Linked DNA regions of Sus scrofa. The main gene of each other region encodes a partner of the protein of the gene in region 3 in a complex. Links are inferred from orthologs where the notes say so. Each region holds a gene or a part of one and is shown on either strand. Other genes may lie near its edges.

The links. Proteins that work in one complex are often made in the same cells at the same time.
Region 1: SMARCC2 (region 3) and SMARCD1 share a complex: the UniProt entries of both Homo sapiens proteins name them as parts of the BAF complex. The link is inferred for Sus scrofa from reciprocal best matches to the Homo sapiens genes SMARCC2 and SMARCD1.
Region 2: SMARCC2 (region 3) and SMARCD3 share a complex: the UniProt entries of both Homo sapiens proteins name them as parts of the BAF complex. The link is inferred for Sus scrofa from reciprocal best matches to the Homo sapiens genes SMARCC2 and SMARCD3.
Region 4: SMARCC2 (region 3) and ACTL6B share a complex: the UniProt entries of both Homo sapiens proteins name them as parts of the BAF complex. The link is inferred for Sus scrofa from reciprocal best matches to the Homo sapiens genes SMARCC2 and ACTL6B.

Annotation. Positions count from the first base shown.
Region 1 is NC_010447.5:15,991,321-15,995,615, forward strand, and holds the start of SMARCD1 (SWI/SNF-related matrix-associated actin-dependent regulator of chromatin subfamily D member 1), read left to right. Parts: upstream 1-1,486; coding exon 1,487-1,663; intron 1,664-2,315; coding exon 2,316-2,503; intron 2,504-2,751; coding exon 2,752-2,794; intron 2,795-2,890; coding exon 2,891-3,013; intron 3,014-3,493; coding exon 3,494-3,616; intron 3,617-4,295. UniProt on the Homo sapiens protein: Involved in transcriptional activation and repression of select genes by chromatin remodeling (alteration of DNA-nucleosome topology).
Region 2 is NC_010460.4:5,957,170-5,961,274, reverse strand, and holds the start of SMARCD3 (SWI/SNF-related matrix-associated actin-dependent regulator of chromatin subfamily D member 3), read right to left. Parts: upstream 2,810-4,105; 5' UTR 2,709-2,809; intron 999-2,708; 5' UTR 897-998; coding exon 858-896; intron 1-857. UniProt on the Homo sapiens protein: Involved in transcriptional activation and repression of select genes by chromatin remodeling (alteration of DNA-nucleosome topology).
Region 3 is NC_010447.5:21,576,743-21,580,300, reverse strand, and holds part of SMARCC2 (SWI/SNF complex subunit SMARCC2), read left to right. Parts: intron 1-240; coding exon 241-316; intron 317-470; coding exon 471-602; intron 603-702; coding exon 703-818; intron 819-1,724; coding exon 1,725-1,849; intron 1,850-2,719; coding exon 2,720-2,779; intron 2,780-2,890; coding exon 2,891-2,928; intron 2,929-3,199; coding exon 3,200-3,330; intron 3,331-3,558. UniProt on the Homo sapiens protein: Involved in transcriptional activation and repression of select genes by chromatin remodeling (alteration of DNA-nucleosome topology).
Region 4 is NC_010445.4:8,565,966-8,570,274, reverse strand, and holds the start of ACTL6B (actin-like protein 6B), read left to right. Parts: upstream 1-1,500; 5' UTR 1,501-1,605; coding exon 1,606-1,630; intron 1,631-2,084; coding exon 2,085-2,161; intron 2,162-2,355; coding exon 2,356-2,521; intron 2,522-2,826; coding exon 2,827-2,927; intron 2,928-4,309. UniProt on the Homo sapiens protein: Involved in transcriptional activation and repression of select genes by chromatin remodeling (alteration of DNA-nucleosome topology).

The sequences.
Region 1 (4,295 bases), about 5.6 Mb from region 3:
TTGGGGACCCCTGCAGCTGAAGCAGCAGGGTGCTGACAGGTGGCAGCTGAGGTCTTTAGTCAGTGGCCTTTCCCTCCTGGCTGCCCAGGCCCCTTTGCTCACCTAATACCCAAGCCCACCACTTATATTTTCTGGTAAGGTATGGTTTGGTAGCGGGAGGAAAGAGACAGGCCTAGAGGGGAAGTTAAAACTCTGCCGTTCTGTCCCTCCCTTCCTACTTTAATGAGAAACCTGTGAGGCCAAGGACCTGCCGTGCCTCCTCCACCAGGCGCTCCCCTCAGGCCAGAGCGCTGCCTCTTCCCAGGCCTTCTCTGCCCAGCTGTCTCTCAGTCTCCACCCCCAGAACAAGACCTGTGGCAGGTCACCTGTGCATTGACCTGGAGCTGCAGGGTGAGGCTGTAGGATCTTTGGGAACTCTGGGTTCCTGGGAACTCCTAGGAGATCAGACCTCTCCAGAGGGAAGCAGGAGCAAGGCCAAAGGGTGTGCACCAGATGGGGAACAGCAGGCAGGGCTATGGGTGACGCATGTCTCTGGTCTAATAAACTGGGTTTCAACCATCTCCTCTTCAGTGTCGTTCTTCTCTTATTTGAATAGTATGTAGGACTTCCTACTAAGAGCTGACCTTGGATTGGGGCCAATCAGGGGAGGAGTAAGGGAGCCAGAGCAGGGATACGCTGGTCCTGGGATGGGACAAGCTGACCATCACACCAGAAATGGTTTGAACCACTGGGCAGGGAAAGAGGAAGAGATCAAAGGTTAACAAAGATCCCAAAGAGAAATCCTAGTACAAAGGAGGCTTTGGAGACGGCGTGGGGTCAAACTTCAAAATATACTTAAAATCTGGAAGCAGGTTAGGTTAAAGGTCAGGGGAAAGGCTGGGTTGAAGTTCTAGCATTAGGTAGTTATTGAGGCACTTTATCTGTGGCATGAGCCCTGGGCTATGAGCCAGACCTGGATTCTAAGCCTTGGCTTTCGCGTTAACTTGCTGGTTGACTACACCGAGTCATTTCCTCTCGAGTTCACCTCTCCTGTTTGCAAAATGGAAAGGTGCGTCCTCCTCTTCGGCTCCTGGGCTTAGAGCCGGAGGAGAAGGAAAAGAAACACGCGCTTTGGAAAGTTAAAACGCCCTGCGCCCAGATGAAGCAGTTACTCCATCACCCTCTTCATCAGAGCTTTGGGACGGTGCTGTGGTCCCCCTTTCCAGGTCCTTGTCTTCCTCCCGCCGGCCTGGGGGCGCCCGCTCACGGGCCTCTCTATCCCAGAGCTCTTCTCGATGGTGTTCCCTGCCGGACCGCGAAGGCTGGAGGGAGTGGTCAGCACGCTTTTTCCGCTCGTCGCCCCCCTCTAGCCCACAGTCTCGCTGCCCTGGGCCTCCCGTGCCGGCGGGCCGGCCGGGCGGACAGGCGGGCGCGCTGGGGGCGCGCGGGGGCGGGGGGAGTTCCGGTTCCGGTTCTTTGTGCAGCTGCAGCAGCGGCTCCGGGAAAGATGGCGGCCCGGGCGGGTTTCCAGTCTGTGGCTCCGAGTGGCGGCGCCGGAGCTTCAGGCGGGGCGGGCGCGGCGGCTGCCCTGGGCCCGGGCGGGACTCCGGGGCCTCCGGTGCGAATGGGCCCGGCGCCGGGTCAAGGGCTGTACCGCTCCCCGATGCCCGGAGCGGCCTATCCGGTGAGTGGGGCAGGAGGAGGGGCGCGCGGGCCGGGGGCGGGGCCGAGCGGGGGCCTGGGAGTGACGGGGTGGGGGGAGGAGTAGGAGGGACTCCCCTGGGAGGGATTCGGTTCGCGAGGGAGGGTCGGGGGAGGCAGTGCGCGGAAGGGAGGGGAGGCGGTTAGCATCCCCACCAGCTCGTAGGGGCATTGTTTCCTTGGGGAGTCGGGGTGTAGAACCAGGGTGAACGAAGCGGGGCCAAGGGTGGGCTTGTGAGAGTTGGAGTGCAAAAAGGCTTAGGCAGCTCCAGTGCCCAGAGGAGCACAGAAGGTGTACCTGGCAAATTGAGGTCAGCTTTTGAGGAGATGGTAGCTGGCTGTGCTGTCTGAGTACTGGGAGCAGAGGAGATGTCCAATGGCAGATACAAACTAGACTGGGGAGAATTTGAGTATAATCTGCTCTCTTAGCTTTGGGCTGGAGTCCCCTGTGGGATCACAAGTGGAGCAGAGGAAGCTCCAGTGATCTATATTTCAAAGAGGTAGAGGGGTCTTCTCCCACCCCCCATGCCCCCAGCCTGGTTCGATTCAGAGAACTCAGGCTTCCCCCACTTTCCCTTTCCTGGTGGGGTTTGCAAGGGAAGCCATGACATCTCTGGGTCCTCTCCCCTCTGTAGAGACCAGGTATGCTACCAGGCAGCCGAATGACACCTCAGGGACCTTCCATGGGACCCCCTGGCTATGGGGGGAACCCTTCAGTCCGACCTGGCCTGGCCCAGTCAGGGATGGACCAGTCCCGCAAGAGACCTGCACCTCAGCAGATCCAGCAGGTCCAGCAACAGGCGGTCCAAAATCGGAACCACAAGTAAGATGACCCCAGGGTGGAGAGCGGGAGGGCGGACACAGGTGGTGGGAGTACCTCAAGCAAGAAGTGACGACGCTGTGTCAGCAGACAGTGGAGACTGTTTCGTGTTTGGTGGGGGTGGGGGGTGTCTTTGATTTGAGAGAAGCTTTGCGGTTCTTTCTCTTGACTATAAATGGAGGTGCTGACAGCCTGTCTTCATGTTCTGGCTAGTTCCATCCCAACCTGATAACAGTATTTATTCCAAACAGTGCAAAGAAAAAGAAGATGGCTGACAAAATTCTACCTCAAAGGGTGAGTCCAGGCTGTATAGGTCTTCTTGAGGGTGTGTTGAGTTGGAGAAGAGAGATGGCCAGCTCTAGATCCCAATGATACCTTTCTGTTCCTCAGATTCGTGAACTGGTACCAGAATCCCAGGCCTATATGGATCTCTTGGCTTTTGAAAGGAAACTGGACCAGACTATCATGAGGAAACGGCTAGATATCCAGGAGGCCTTGAAGCGTCCCATCAAGGTAACGCAGGAGAGTGCTAGGCAGAGAGCCAAAGGAGAGGACTCGGGAACCTTCAGCAGGCTAAGGATGAGAAATCAAAGGCATAGCGCCGCTCTCCTTGGCATTTAAATTACATCTCTCCCTTCCGCCTACAAACCGAGAATTACATTAGAAGCATAAGAACAGAACAGCTCAGGGGGAGGGGCTTTTGGTAGTTCTTGCACCAGAAATATACTCTGTTGGTGTTTTTGCTATAACTGCTCTGTCACCTTGGGAACCTGGCACCTCGCATGACTTTGTCTACCTGGCACCCCAGTGCATGCACTTGCATTTGGGCCAGTGGCCTGTGCTCTTCTAGGTGGAATCTCCGTCCACCCACCCCAGGGCCTGGGTAAATAGTAAGCCAGTCTGTTAGGAGACGTTTTGGGGTTTGGGGAGACCCTGGTCTTCAGCGTGAAACCACTGAAGCCCCACTGTCAATCCTGTTTCTGCCTTCCTCAGCAAAAACGGAAGCTGCGAATTTTCATTTCTAACACTTTCAATCCGGCTAAGTCAGATGCCGAGGATGGGGAAGGGACGGTGGCTTCCTGGGAGCTTCGGGTAGAAGGACGCCTCCTGGAGGATGTGAGTTCAAGGTCCACTGTGGTCAGCATCTAGGGTGGGAGCTGCTGGGAACAAGCAGTATTGTCTGGTTGGCAGGAAGCCTGACTGGTGCTCACAGCTCCTGTTGGGAACAGCAGGGAGAGGGTCACTGTGTTCCCTGCGCTAAAAGACAATGGTTCTTTGTGTCTGGCTCCCACAGCCTGGCTCTCTCTGTGGTATCGTATGGAGAACCGTATTGCCCTGGGATTTGATTTGTTGTTTGTCTCCCTCCTGATGCTGCTAGCCCTTGGATTTGGCAGTATCTGCAGATTTTCCAGTTAGGGTTGTTCTGGTTTTGTTTTTGTTTTTTAAACCAAGTGAGTTTGCACTTAGCATTTGAGGCCCTGCTTTCCTCCCAGAGTCCTTGAGGTCCTTGATTCCCGCTGCAGTATTGCCGTCTTCCCAGTTTCCACTGGAGACATTTCACAGTTTCCATGGGCGAGGTCTCTCGGACAGGCTCTTTGCTGCCTCATGGGGAACATCAGCTGACAGGTGATAGCCCCCAGACTTCACACCCCAGAAGCTCCTTGGGGAAGCTCACCTGCCATTCCCTTATATTCTCTTGCTCTCTATTTTTAGCTGTTCACAGGCAAGCCAGTATGAATGCATTTTTCAGGAGAACCAGGGCTCGTGTCAGAGCCTCCTTCTTTTCTATATAGGT
Region 2 (4,105 bases), on a different chromosome or scaffold from region 3:
CCAGAGTGACGGGGGCGGGGGGCTGGACAGGCCGAGCTCAGCCCAGATGGCATGTCTCGGACCCAGCTCCACCCTCACGCAGATGAATGGGGCTCTGGGCCAGGTGGCCGTTCCACACGGTGCCTCAGCGCTTCCTTCTGCACCAGGGGCCCCGACGGGGGACTAGCCAGGCTGTCTCCTCTCACGCTGCCTGCCGGGAGTTGGCGCGCTCACTACGGGCCTGAGAGCCAGCACCTCTGAGCCGGAGGCCTGCCTGGTGGCAGGGCAAGGCCAGCTCCACCAGAGGCCCTGCCACAGGACGCCACCCCTCCTGCCTGGAACGAACCCCTGTCCGGGTCCCAGAAAGCTTTCGGATGTTCGCCATAGCAGGTTTGGGGGTAGGTTTCCAGAGCCCAAGTTGTGCCAGGATCAGCGGTTTCCTCCCAGCTGTGTGCTGGGGTGTGTGTGTGTGTGTGTGTGTGTGTGTGTGTGTGTGTGCGCTCGCGCACAGGTGAGGGGCGAGAAGGCGTGTGTCTGGGTGTCCGTGGGGAGGACATGGAACAAGCCAGAGGAGGCTCACTTGTCCCTGGCTCCGACTGGCTTCAAGAGGCAGGACCCAGGGACAGTGGAAAGTAAGGGGACCCTGAGCAAGAGGGGGGGCCAGTGTGGAGGTGGCTGCCAGCAGGGCCTGGGCAGAGGTTCCAATTGGGGTAGGGGATGAGAAGAGGCCCTGCCACAGGTCCAGCTCGGGGCAGAAGGGCCAAGAGGGGGCCCAGGGGTAGGACCAGAGGCTGAGAGCCAGTGACTCTCAGTGGAACCCCGAGGCTCCTGCTCCAGGGCTGGCGGGGGTGGGGTGGGGGGAGGGCAGCAGCGCCTACCTGTACCACGGCGGGTGGGTGCTGAAGGCCTGGAGTCATAGGTGGCAGGGTCCTGCAGCGGGGGAGTCATCCAGTGCCCCCTCGGTGCCCGGGCCCAGAGCCTACCGTGCCTGCAGCACCAAGGGCCATTCTGGGGGGGATCTGAAAGGAGAGGGCAGTGGGAGGGACTGGCCAGACCCCGAGCCCCAGAGCCAGACTCACAAGGGCCTGCTGTGTGGACCAGCTCCATGACAAGGTCTGAGGAAGGCAGGAGGCGCGTAGGAAGGGAGCAGGGGGCGGGCTGGGCCAGCCTGGCTGGGTGGCACAAGGAAGGGCAGCGTGACTGCAGGAAGCAGTCAGAGACCAAGGCCTACAGGTCAGGCCTGGAAGGATGCGAGTCAAGGAGCTGGCAGAGCCCAGGCCCTGGCAGAGGCAGCACCTTTGGGGGGTCCTGTCAAGAGTGGAGGAGAGAGCCGGGCACTGGGGTGGGGAGGGCATGACCGGCAGCCAGGATGGGACCTGGATGACTTCTGGAGCTCAAGGATGTCCCAAGGGACAGCTAGGGGTGGGTGGCAGTAGAGCCAACCCGCTCTGTAGTCTGCCCAGCCGACAGTGGGCCCTCCCTGTGTGCCCAGCCTTCGTGGTCACCCCCTGCCAGGGAGGAAGGCGGTGGGCTAGGGTCAGAACCCAACTTGTGGGCAGACAGCAGGTTGGGGGACGAGGAGGGGGCAGTGTGGTAGCTTGGGAGCAGTGTGGGGGCTTGGGAGCAGTTCAGGGGCATGTGCTGGGGGTGTTGGCCAGAGGGTGACTCTGAGAAGGGTGAGGAGGCAGGGAGGCAGTGAGAGGAGGGAGATGCCAAGAGGGGAGGATGTTACCAGCCTGGGGCAGGGGAGGAGGTACCTGGCAGGAAGAGGGACAATCTGAATGGGGGAGAGGTGTTGGGCAAGAGGAGGCCAAGAGGAAGGGGCACAAGGGAGGGAAGGAGGGGCCAGGCAGGGGGGAGGGAGAGGGCCAGGCAGGGGGGAGAGGGGAGAGACAGGCGGGGGGAGGGGGAGGAGGAGGGCAGGGGAGGGGGTTGGGCCAGGCAGGGGTGGGGTGGGGGTGCCAAGCATGGGGGAGGGGGGGAGATGCCAGGTAGGGAGGGGGTGGGGAGGAAAGCTCCAGTCAGGAGCAGGGCAGGAAAGTGCTGGGCAGGGAGGAGGGGACAGGCCACTGGGGACAAGTAGGTACAAGGCAGTTGGGGAGGAGGGAAGGTGCCAGACACGAGGGAGGAGAGGAAGGTACCAGGCAGGAGAGTGCCAGGCAAAGGGAAAACGGGGGAATGCAGGGGAGGGGGAGAGGGGAGGGACCAGGTAAGGGGAGGAGGGAAAGAAGCCGGGTGAGGCGTGGAGGGGGAAGAATCAGAGAGGAGGCTGGATGGGAGTTTGCCAGTCAGGGAAGAGGTGCAAGAAAGGGAGTGGGGGGAGGTGCCAGGCGGGGCGGTGGGGCGAGGGGAGTCAGGAGTGGGGGGAGAGATCAGGAAAGGAGAGGGGGGGAGCCAGGCAGGGAGAAGGGGGTGCCAGGTAAGAGGAAGGTGCCAGGAAGGGGTAAGAAGGGAGGTGCCAGGCAGAGGGAGAACAGGGAAATGCCAGGCAAGGGGAGGGGGGAAGGAAACGCCAGACGGGGGGGGGGGGCGGTGAGGGATGCCAGGCAGGCGGGAGGCGAGGAGGTACCAGGCGGGGGGGAGGAGGGATGCCAGGCAAAGGAAGGAGGGGTGATGCCAGTAGAGGCAAGACGGGTACTGCCAAGCAGGGAAGGCCGGGGCGCCGGCGCAGCGCGGCCGGGCGGCGTCTCCTCCAAGGGCCTGGGGGCCGCGCGGCGCGGGTCGCTCACCTGCTCCCCCGGGACCCCGGCCCGGAGCGCGGTCGCTCGCTCCCTGCTCGGCGCTCGGCTCGGCCCGGCGCCTGCGCCGCTGCTGCCGGGAGCGGGGGAGGCGCAGGGAGCGTCTGCAAAGAGCGAGGAGCTTAATAATGAGTTAGGGATCAGAGCAGTCAGCGTCGCCCCATCCATCCGAATGTGCGATCGCCACGCTTGGAGCACCGCGGCGCGCACTGGCCGGGCCCATTGTGATGTTCATTTAGTCAGTGCACAGATGTGCCTTCGTCTGTAGATGCGCCTCTGCGCCCGCGGATTCACATAGACCTTCAGAGGGTCCGATGTGACCGCAGACATTAGGCGCATGGGACCACAGACAGACAGACACACACACTCTCAGTGGGGAGAGGGCCTCGGTTCCACTCCAGGTTCAAGGACAGGCTCCGACGGATGCCCCCGCCCCGCCCCGTCATGCATGTGCACGCTCCTGGTCTAATCTGTGTCCCTCCGGGCTGTACTACCGATTCCGCGGGGACGCTGGCCCCGGAGAATCCCTTCCTGGACTTGCAGCCAGAGGAGCCGCTCTGGTCACTCCGCAGGCTGTCTCTGTGAATCTGACTATTCTTGAGTACTTCATACAAATGAAATCATTCTGTATTTGCCCTTTGGCGACTGGCTGATTTCACTGAGCATAACGGCCTTGAGCTTCATCCATGCTGTAACGTGTCAGAAATTCCATCCTTTTGAGGAGAAGATTCCTGTTGTCTGCATATATGCAATGCACAGATGAATATATGCCATTTTTTTTTAAGTCTTTCTGGGCAGCACCTGTGGCATATGGAGGTTCCTAGGCTAGGGGTGGAATTGGAGCTGCAGCTGCAGGCCTACACCACAGCCACAGCAATTTGTAATCTGAGCTGAGTCTGCCACCTACACCACAGCTCACAGCAATGCTGGATCCTTAGCCCACAGAGCGAGGCCAGGGATTGAACCTGCATCCTCATGGATACTAGTGGGGTTCATTACCACTGAGCCACGCGGGGAACTCTTACACACCACATTTTGTTGACCCATTTGAAACTGACAGTATTAATGGCCTGAACCTAGCCAGAACACAGATTGGGGCTTGAACCCATGTTTTAAACGAGCACTCACCTGAGGTCTGGACTCACTGAGGTTCAGGTTCTTTATGCTTCCGTGCAGAAGGAATTCAGCGAGAGACACAGTGATAGCCAAGAAATAGATTTATTAGGATAGGACGCTTGTGAGGGATGCCAGCAGGCAGGCAAGGAAGCTCTGCCCCACGAATCAGGTGGGCTACAGCTTTATCATCCAGGGGGAGTGGGGGTCGGAAAAGCCCGCCTCTTCCTTTCTGGGAGTAGCAGCTCCTCCTGGGTATCCGGAAAGGTGTGTAT
Region 3 (3,558 bases):
AACCTCATGGTTCCTAGTTGGAGTTGTTTCCATTGAGCCATGATGGGAACTCCTATTTTTGAAATTTTTTATAGTCATTTTTATTACTTTATGATGAAAAGAATCCCAATTAATTGGGGAAAGAGTCATACCAAAAAATAACCCAGCAACCCAATACTTTTTGTCAATGGAAAAGGTAAAAGTTTTGCACTTTATTTTTCTACACCCTCTCCCCATCGATTGCTTAATTTCCCATGGCAGTTACGACACATGGATCCCAGCCAGTGAAATTGAAGCATCTGTGGAAGATGCTCCAACTCCTGAGAAACCCAGAAAGGTAAGCTTTTCTTGTCCATGCCCACCCTCCCCAAGAAGAATGTCAGGGCCAGACCCCTCTCTGGAGGTGAAGCAGAGGCTCCTCTGTTAAGGGTCCCCAGGCAGAACTGGGGTTTCCAGGCCTCCCTCCAGCACAGTCTGCCTTTGTACTTCAGGTTCACGCAAAGTGGATCCTGGACACAGACACCTTCAATGAATGGATGAATGAGGAAGACTATGAAGTGAATGATGACAAAAACCCTGTCTCGCGCCGAAAGAAGATATCAGCCAAGACATTGACAGACGAGGTGAAAACTCCTTTTCTTCTTGAGCCCTTAGCACAAGTCTTGGAATAAGTCTTCATCAGAGATTGTTGGCTGACATTTGCTGCAATTCTCCAACCTGCAGGTGAACAGCCCAGATTCAGATCGACGGGACAAGAAAGGAGGGAACTATAAGAAGCGGAAACGCTCCCCCTCTCCTTCACCGACCCCAGAAGCTAAGAAGAAGAATGCCAAGAAAGGGTAGGCCAGCCCCTCACCCCCTGCCTTCACTGCTCTGTCCATGCTTTTCCCGTAACCACCAGACCCCAACCTGGGTCAGCCTGAGAGGGAGGATGAGGAGGCCTTTTGTTGTCAAGTGGCTGGTTCTGGTCCCGGCCACCGGGAAGCGCAAAGAGAGCTTAATCTCCAAATTCGAGGCTTTTGCCTCTTCCCTTTACTCTGTAGTGATTGTTTCCTCTTTTTGCTCGGCTCTGCCCCCGGATTTTCTCTCTCTCTTTTTTTTTTTCCCTTCCAGTTTTTTTGAGGTGTAGCTGACATACAGCCCTGTATAAGCTTAAGGCATACAGCATCATGATTTGATTTACGCATGTCATGAAGTGATTATCACTGTGAGTTCATGAACATCCATCATCTCATGTAGATAACATAATTAAAGACAGAGAAAAATAAATTAACTTTTTTTCTTATGCTGAGAACTCTGAGGATTTACTCTCTTAGCAATTTGCATGTGTCCCATATGGCAGTGTTATTTTTTTCCCGCTTTTATTGCCTTTTTAGGGCTGCTCCCTCGGCATATGGAGGTTCCCAGGCTAGGGGTCTAATTGGAGCTGTAGCCACCGGCCTACGCCACAGCCACAGCAACACCAGATCCAAGTCGTGTCTGACCTACACCACAGCTCATGGCAACACCAGATCCTTAACCCACTGAGCAAGGGCAGGGATCGAACCTGCAACCTCATGGTTCCCAGCTGGATTCGTTTCCGATGCACCACGATGGGAACTCTGGGCAATGTTCATTATGTTTATCATGGTGTTCGTCACAGACCCTTTGGGAGTCCCTCTTGCCTCCCTTCCCTTGAAGCTCTCCCTCCAGGGATTCCTTGTCCAGAGATGACAGGATTCTCTTTCCCTCTCTTTCCTTCCCAGTCCCTCAACACCTTACACCAAGTCAAAGCGTGGCCACAGAGAAGAGGAGCAAGAAGACCTGACAAAGGACATGGATGAGCCCTCACCGGTTCCCAATGTGGAAGAGGTGACGTTGCCCAAAACAGGTATGGGCCCAGCCAAGCTCCTGGACCCCACCCCCACCCCCATCCTCCCTGTCCTGGGTCAAACCACCTGACCTCCCAGACCCAGCTCCAGGTCTAGGGCTTCTTTCCCTTCAACATAGCTGGTTATTAAAACCATTTTCATCACCACAGACAATCCTCGAACTTCATATTCCTGTCTGGGTTGTGGACTGTGCTCTGTGCCTGACAGTAATTGTCTCCAAAGGTCTTTTGGATTAAATACCACTGTCAATATTGAGCACAAGTTATATACATGTACCCTTTACCACTACTTTGGGAACATTATAAACACACTAATACATTATCTAAAAATGGGAAAACAAAAAGGATAAGATTAAAAAGAATATAGGAGTTCCAACCCCTGGCCTTGCTCAGTGGGTTAAGGATCCAGCGTTGCCGTGAGCTGTGGTATAGGTCACAGACGCGGCTCGGATCTGGCATTGCCGTGGCTGTGGTGTAGGCCAGCAGCTATAGCTCTGATTAGACCCCTAGCCTGGGAACCTCTGTATGCTGCAAAAAGACTAAAAAAAAAAAAAAAAAAAGAACTTACAGACACATAGATGGAATAAGGGCCTGACAAAGACAAGGATGATGGATGAATTACATAGAGTAGAAGATGCTTCTTTTTAAGAAACAAATTGAGTTAAATGAATTTTTGGTTGGGGAAGGGGAGAAAGCGGCAGGGGAGTTTCCGGCCCTAGAATGATTGCAGCTGGAAGACATTACTACAGTTTGTGATGAGGTGGAACAAGTTTTTGGAGAAAGCGAGCTCTCTGGAACTGTTAACAGTGGAGAGGCAAGGTCTTGATTTGGGCAGAAACTGCCTGGTAAAATGACTCTCTCCTCTGGCAGTCAACACTAAGAAGGACTCAGAGTCAGCCCCGGTCAAAGGAGGCACCATGACGGACCTGGGTAAGATGGGGAGCAAGAGGAAGGAGGCGCGGGGCCTTTCAGAAAGCGCACCTGTCCTCTGGCCCGCAGGGCCTCCTATCCTGCCTTCTCTCTGCTGTCGCTCTCTTTCAGATGAACAAGAAGATGAGAGCATGGAGACTACGGGCAAGGTGGAGCCAGTTTAGAGAGGCCCTGCCCCTCTGTGCTTCTGACTTGTGATTATAAAGTTCCTTCTCCCCAGAACTTTCCTCTGCCCAGACTTTTCCCACCCTAGACGAAGTCCAGCTGTTGCTCAAAACTCTGACCCTTGGAGTCCTGGGGCCCCTAACAGCTCATTCCCACCCCAGTCTTCAGTGCCAGCATTCCTGGGTGTGGGAGAAGCAGGGTCTGCCGGGGGGCGGAATGGGAATGCTCGGAGTCCAACAGCCTCCATGCTCATAGGATGAAGATGAGAACAGTACGGGGAACAAGGGAGAGCAGACCAAGAATCCGGACCTACACGAGGACAATGTGACCGAACAGACCCACCACATCATCATCCCCAGCTACGCTGCCTGGTTTGACTATAATAGGTATTGTTGCTCCAGCTTCTCCCTAAATCCTTACTTCCCTGCCGCCAGAGGTCAGCGTGTTGTTCCTCCTCCTGCCTCTAAATAAGTTATCTCTTCCTTAGCCATACAGACGGGGGTACAGTTCAGTTTGAGGGGCGCCCCTAGGAGTCTCGTTGAGTCTTCCAGCCTCGGTGGGAAGTTCTCCTTAAGCATCTCATCTCCTTCCTGATGCCCCACATTCTGGGCTTT
Region 4 (4,309 bases), on a different chromosome or scaffold from region 3:
GGGGCATTCAGCCATTGTTCAGAACCCTCTTCCTTGGCTACTTCTGGTCTTAATGTCCCCCTTACCCCCAAACAAGTAGGTAGGAGTGCCCCTGAGCCACACAAGTATTCACACATACATTCATGTATGTGCATATGCACACACATGCTGACACACTCAAACACACACAGATAAGCACACACCTACACACAGGCTCACAAAAGAGTGTCTCAGCTGAGCCAGACTTTCAGAGTTGATCCTTGGCCTTCAATATCAAAACTGCTGTGGAGGAGCTCCCACTGTGGTTCAGTGGAAACAAACCCAACTAGTAACCATGAGGATGCAGTTTAGATCCCTGGCCTTGATCAGTGGGTTAAGGATCTGGCATTGACCAAGCTGTGGTGTAGGTTTAAGGAAGACATGGCTCAGATCTGGTGTTGCTGTGGCTGTGGTGGTGTAGGCCGGCAGCTGCAGCTCAGATTTAATCCCTAGCCTGGGAACTTCCTTTTGCCTCGGGGTGTGGTCCTAAAAAAAAAAAAACAAAACAAAAAACGAAAAATAACGGAGTTCCCGTCGTGGCGCAGTAGTTAACGAATCCGACTAGGAACCACGAGGTTGCGGGTTCGTCCCTGGCCCTGCTCAGTGGGTTAATGATCTGGCGTTGCCGTGAGCTGTGGTGTAGGTTGCAGACGCGGCTTGGATGCCACGTTGCTGTGGCTCTGGCGTAGGCCGATGGCTCCAGCTCCAATTAGACCCCTAGCCTGGGAACCTCCATACGCCGCGGGAGCGGCCCAAGGAATGGCAAAAAAAAAAAAAAAAGCAAACCCCGCCCACCCCCTCCCCCCCCCAAGTGGCCTCAGGCGATGCCCAGAAAAACCTAGGAGCCTCTGGTACAAAACCTGCTTGCTTGATAAATAGCTCCAGAAAGGAATAGATAAAGAGAGCGAAAAGGAAAGGAAGCAAAAGCTAGGTTAGCTGAGTGCCATGTATGAATACGTGTACATGTGTGTACACGTGTGTATGTATAAGGTGTAGGCACTAGGGGATGAGCAGGAAAAGAGGAGTCATCAGAAGGACAAGGGTGGAAAGAAACAGGGAGAAAATCGAGACACACCTGTTTCCTTACCTCTCCTCCTTCCCTACCCCACTTTCCTGGTGATTTCATTTAGTTCAGGGTATGGCAGAACCTTGCTCAGGAGCCTGAGAATGGACGAGTCTGCGAGACTATGGCGCCCTCTCCTCGACCCCATTTTAAAATAAGGAAGCAGAAGCCCTGTCGGTCACCATACAGAGTCCTGATCTCCGGATGGACAAGGTTTCCATCTCTTGCCTACTCCTGCTTCTTGCCTGCCTATCCCTTAGGGCGGGCCTCGAGGTCCTTGATCCCGTTAATTCCCTCCCTGACGCCTAATGTTGAGGTGTCTGGCCCTTTAAAGCAGCAGCCCCCGGTCGAGTTATTGTCTCCCCTCTCAGCCAATCGGCGGCGCCGTTGGGGGCGGGGGACCCGGCCTCCCGATAGGCCGCTCTGAGCCCCGCCCCTCCCGGGATTCCGGGAGCTGTCCGGCCACCTCGGTGCTGATCCCGCCGCCGCCGCCCACGGGCCGCGAGCAGCGCTGAGAGGGCACTATGAGCGGGGGCGTCTATGGCGGAGGTGAGCGAGCCTCGGGCTTCGGGCTCCCCAGCCCGGCGCGGCCTCACCCGAAGCCCAGCGCCCCGAACCCGCGCGATCCAAGCTCTGGACACTCTGGGGCCTGTCACTCGGCGCTACAGCGGGTCCAACCCGGGGTTTGGGTCCTGCACCGCTCCAACCTAAGACCCTTCCCAGACGCTCGCACGCACTCGGCCCAACCTCTCCATCATTCAACCCACCTCCACCCGGCCCCCAGCCTGGCAAGGAGAGTGGCCTGCACACGGGCCACGGGTCAAAAGGGACTTTGGAATCTTGACCCCCACTCCCAAGACCCCGAACTCCTGGCCGAGCTCCCACCTGCCCCGTCCGACGTTGAAGGTGGTGAGACTGTGGCTCTGCCCTGACCTCCTCTCGGAGCAATCCAAGGGGAGAGAGTTTGGGACAGGTCCCCTCACAGGTCTGTCTCTCCGCACAGATGAGGTGGGCGCGCTGGTCTTTGACATTGGCTCCTTCTCAGTCCGCGCTGGGTATGCTGGGGAGGACTGCCCCAAGGTGAGCCTTCCAGCCCCCTCCCCAAATCCTGCCCCCCACCCCCAGGCTTCTCAGTGATCTAGGGTCTCAAGGCCAAGAAAGAAGCTCTGCTGAGCTGGAATTTGGCAGTAAGCCCAGGGATGGGCTGAGAGCCCTGCCAAGGGCCTGGGTAGGTGCAAGAGATTGATTTTTCCTCTGTATTTGCCCCCCTCCAGGCTGACTTCCCCACCACTGTGGGGCTGCTGGCCGCAGAGGAGGGGGGTGGGCTGGAGTTGGAGGGGGAGAAAGAGAAGAAAGGGAAGATCTTTCACATTGATACCAACGCCCTCCACGTGCCTCGGGATGGAGCAGAAGTTATGTCCCCCCTCAAGAATGGCATGAGTAAGGGGCTCGCACCCACTGCCTCCTAACACAGACTGGGAGCCCACCCCCCCTCACCCCAGGGCACAGCACTCCACACCCAAGGAGTCTTCCTTGCAGCTGCCCAAGTCCCAGGGATGCCCTCACTACTTTGCACAGCTGCCTGGTTCCTAACCAGGGGCCACCAGATTCCTGGGGAGGGGGAATTTCTACGGGAGCTTGTCTCACCTCTCCTCCATTGGCCTTGGCCTCCCTCCTTCCTTTCCTTCCTGTCCCTGGACACCCGCCTGCCCACCTTCATCTCTCCCCTGGTCTCCTGGCCCCAGTCGAGGACTGGGAGTGCTTCCGTGCGATCCTGGATCACACCTACAGCAAACACGTCAAGTCCGAGCCAAACCTGCACCCAGTGCTCATGTCTGAGGCCCCGGTAAGTGCCTCATCCAGCCCCTAGTTTAGCTCTGGGTCCCACCATTTACCATTCACCTCTCTCATCAAGCCACTGCCATCAATCACTCCACTTCGCTTTTTGGACTTTCCTTCCTTTTTTTCTTTTTTTTATTTTTAGGACCACACCTGTGACATATGGAGGTTCCCAGGCTAGGGGTCCAATCGGAGCTGTAGCTGCTGGCCTATACGACAGCCACACCAATACAGGATCCAAGCCACGTGTGCAACCTACACCACAGCTCATGACAACGCCGGATCCTTAACCCACTGAGCGAGGCCTGGGGTTGAACCCCCATCCTCATGGATGCTAGTTGGGTTCATTAATAGCTGAGCCACAGGGGGAACTCCCTCAGAGTTTCCTTCCAACACCATCATCTTCAACTACTTTCTTTCCTCCCTGGTTTAATCTCCATGCCTCGCTCTTCCCGCCCCATCCACGTGCTTTTCCCCCAGCCAGACTCCTACACTGCCCCTCCACTGCCCCTCCTCCCAAGATCTTTTTTGAACTTTTAACTTAAAATTGTTGTCCATATTATATATACACATCAATAGTCAATTTACAATAACACAACATTGTAAATGAACTATACTTCAATTTTTGGGTTTTTTGGGGTTTTTTTGGTTGGTTGGTTGGGTGGTTTTTTTTTTTTGTTTTTTTTTTTTTTTGTTTTTTTTTTTTTGCTTTATAGGGCTGTACCCATGGTATATGGAGGTTCCCAGGCTAGGGGTCTAATAGGAACTATAGCTGCCGGCCTACACCACAGCCACAGCAAGGCCAGATCTGAGCTGGGTCTGCAACCTACAGCACATTTCCTGGCAACACCAGATCCTTAACCCACTGAGCGAGGCTAGGGATCGAACCTGCAACCTCATGGTTCCTAATTGGATTCGTTTCCACTGTGCCACATCAGGAACTCCTATACGTCAATTTTTAAGTAAAAAATAAAGTGAAAGTGATAATCAATTTGCTTTAGAAAATATGTTAAGGGAAAAACTGGCATTCATACCCTCTTTCTTCTCTTCACCCTTTTCCAGAGGCAGTTGCTTTTCTCTTAGCTTTTTTTTTTTCCCATTACCTTTCATATCTCTGATTATCACACTTGAATTGAATTGCTGATCATGATTTTTATTTATTTATTTATTTATTTTTAGGGCTGCACCTGAGGCATATGGAAGTTCCCAGACAAGGGGCCAAATCAGAGCTATAGCTGCCAGCCTACACCACAGCCACAGCAAGGCTGGATCTGAGCCTTATCTGTGACCTGCACCACAGCTCTGGGCAATGATGGATCCTTAACCTACTGAGTGAGGCCAGGGATCGAACCTGCATCCTCACTAATACTAGTCATGAATACTGCTGAA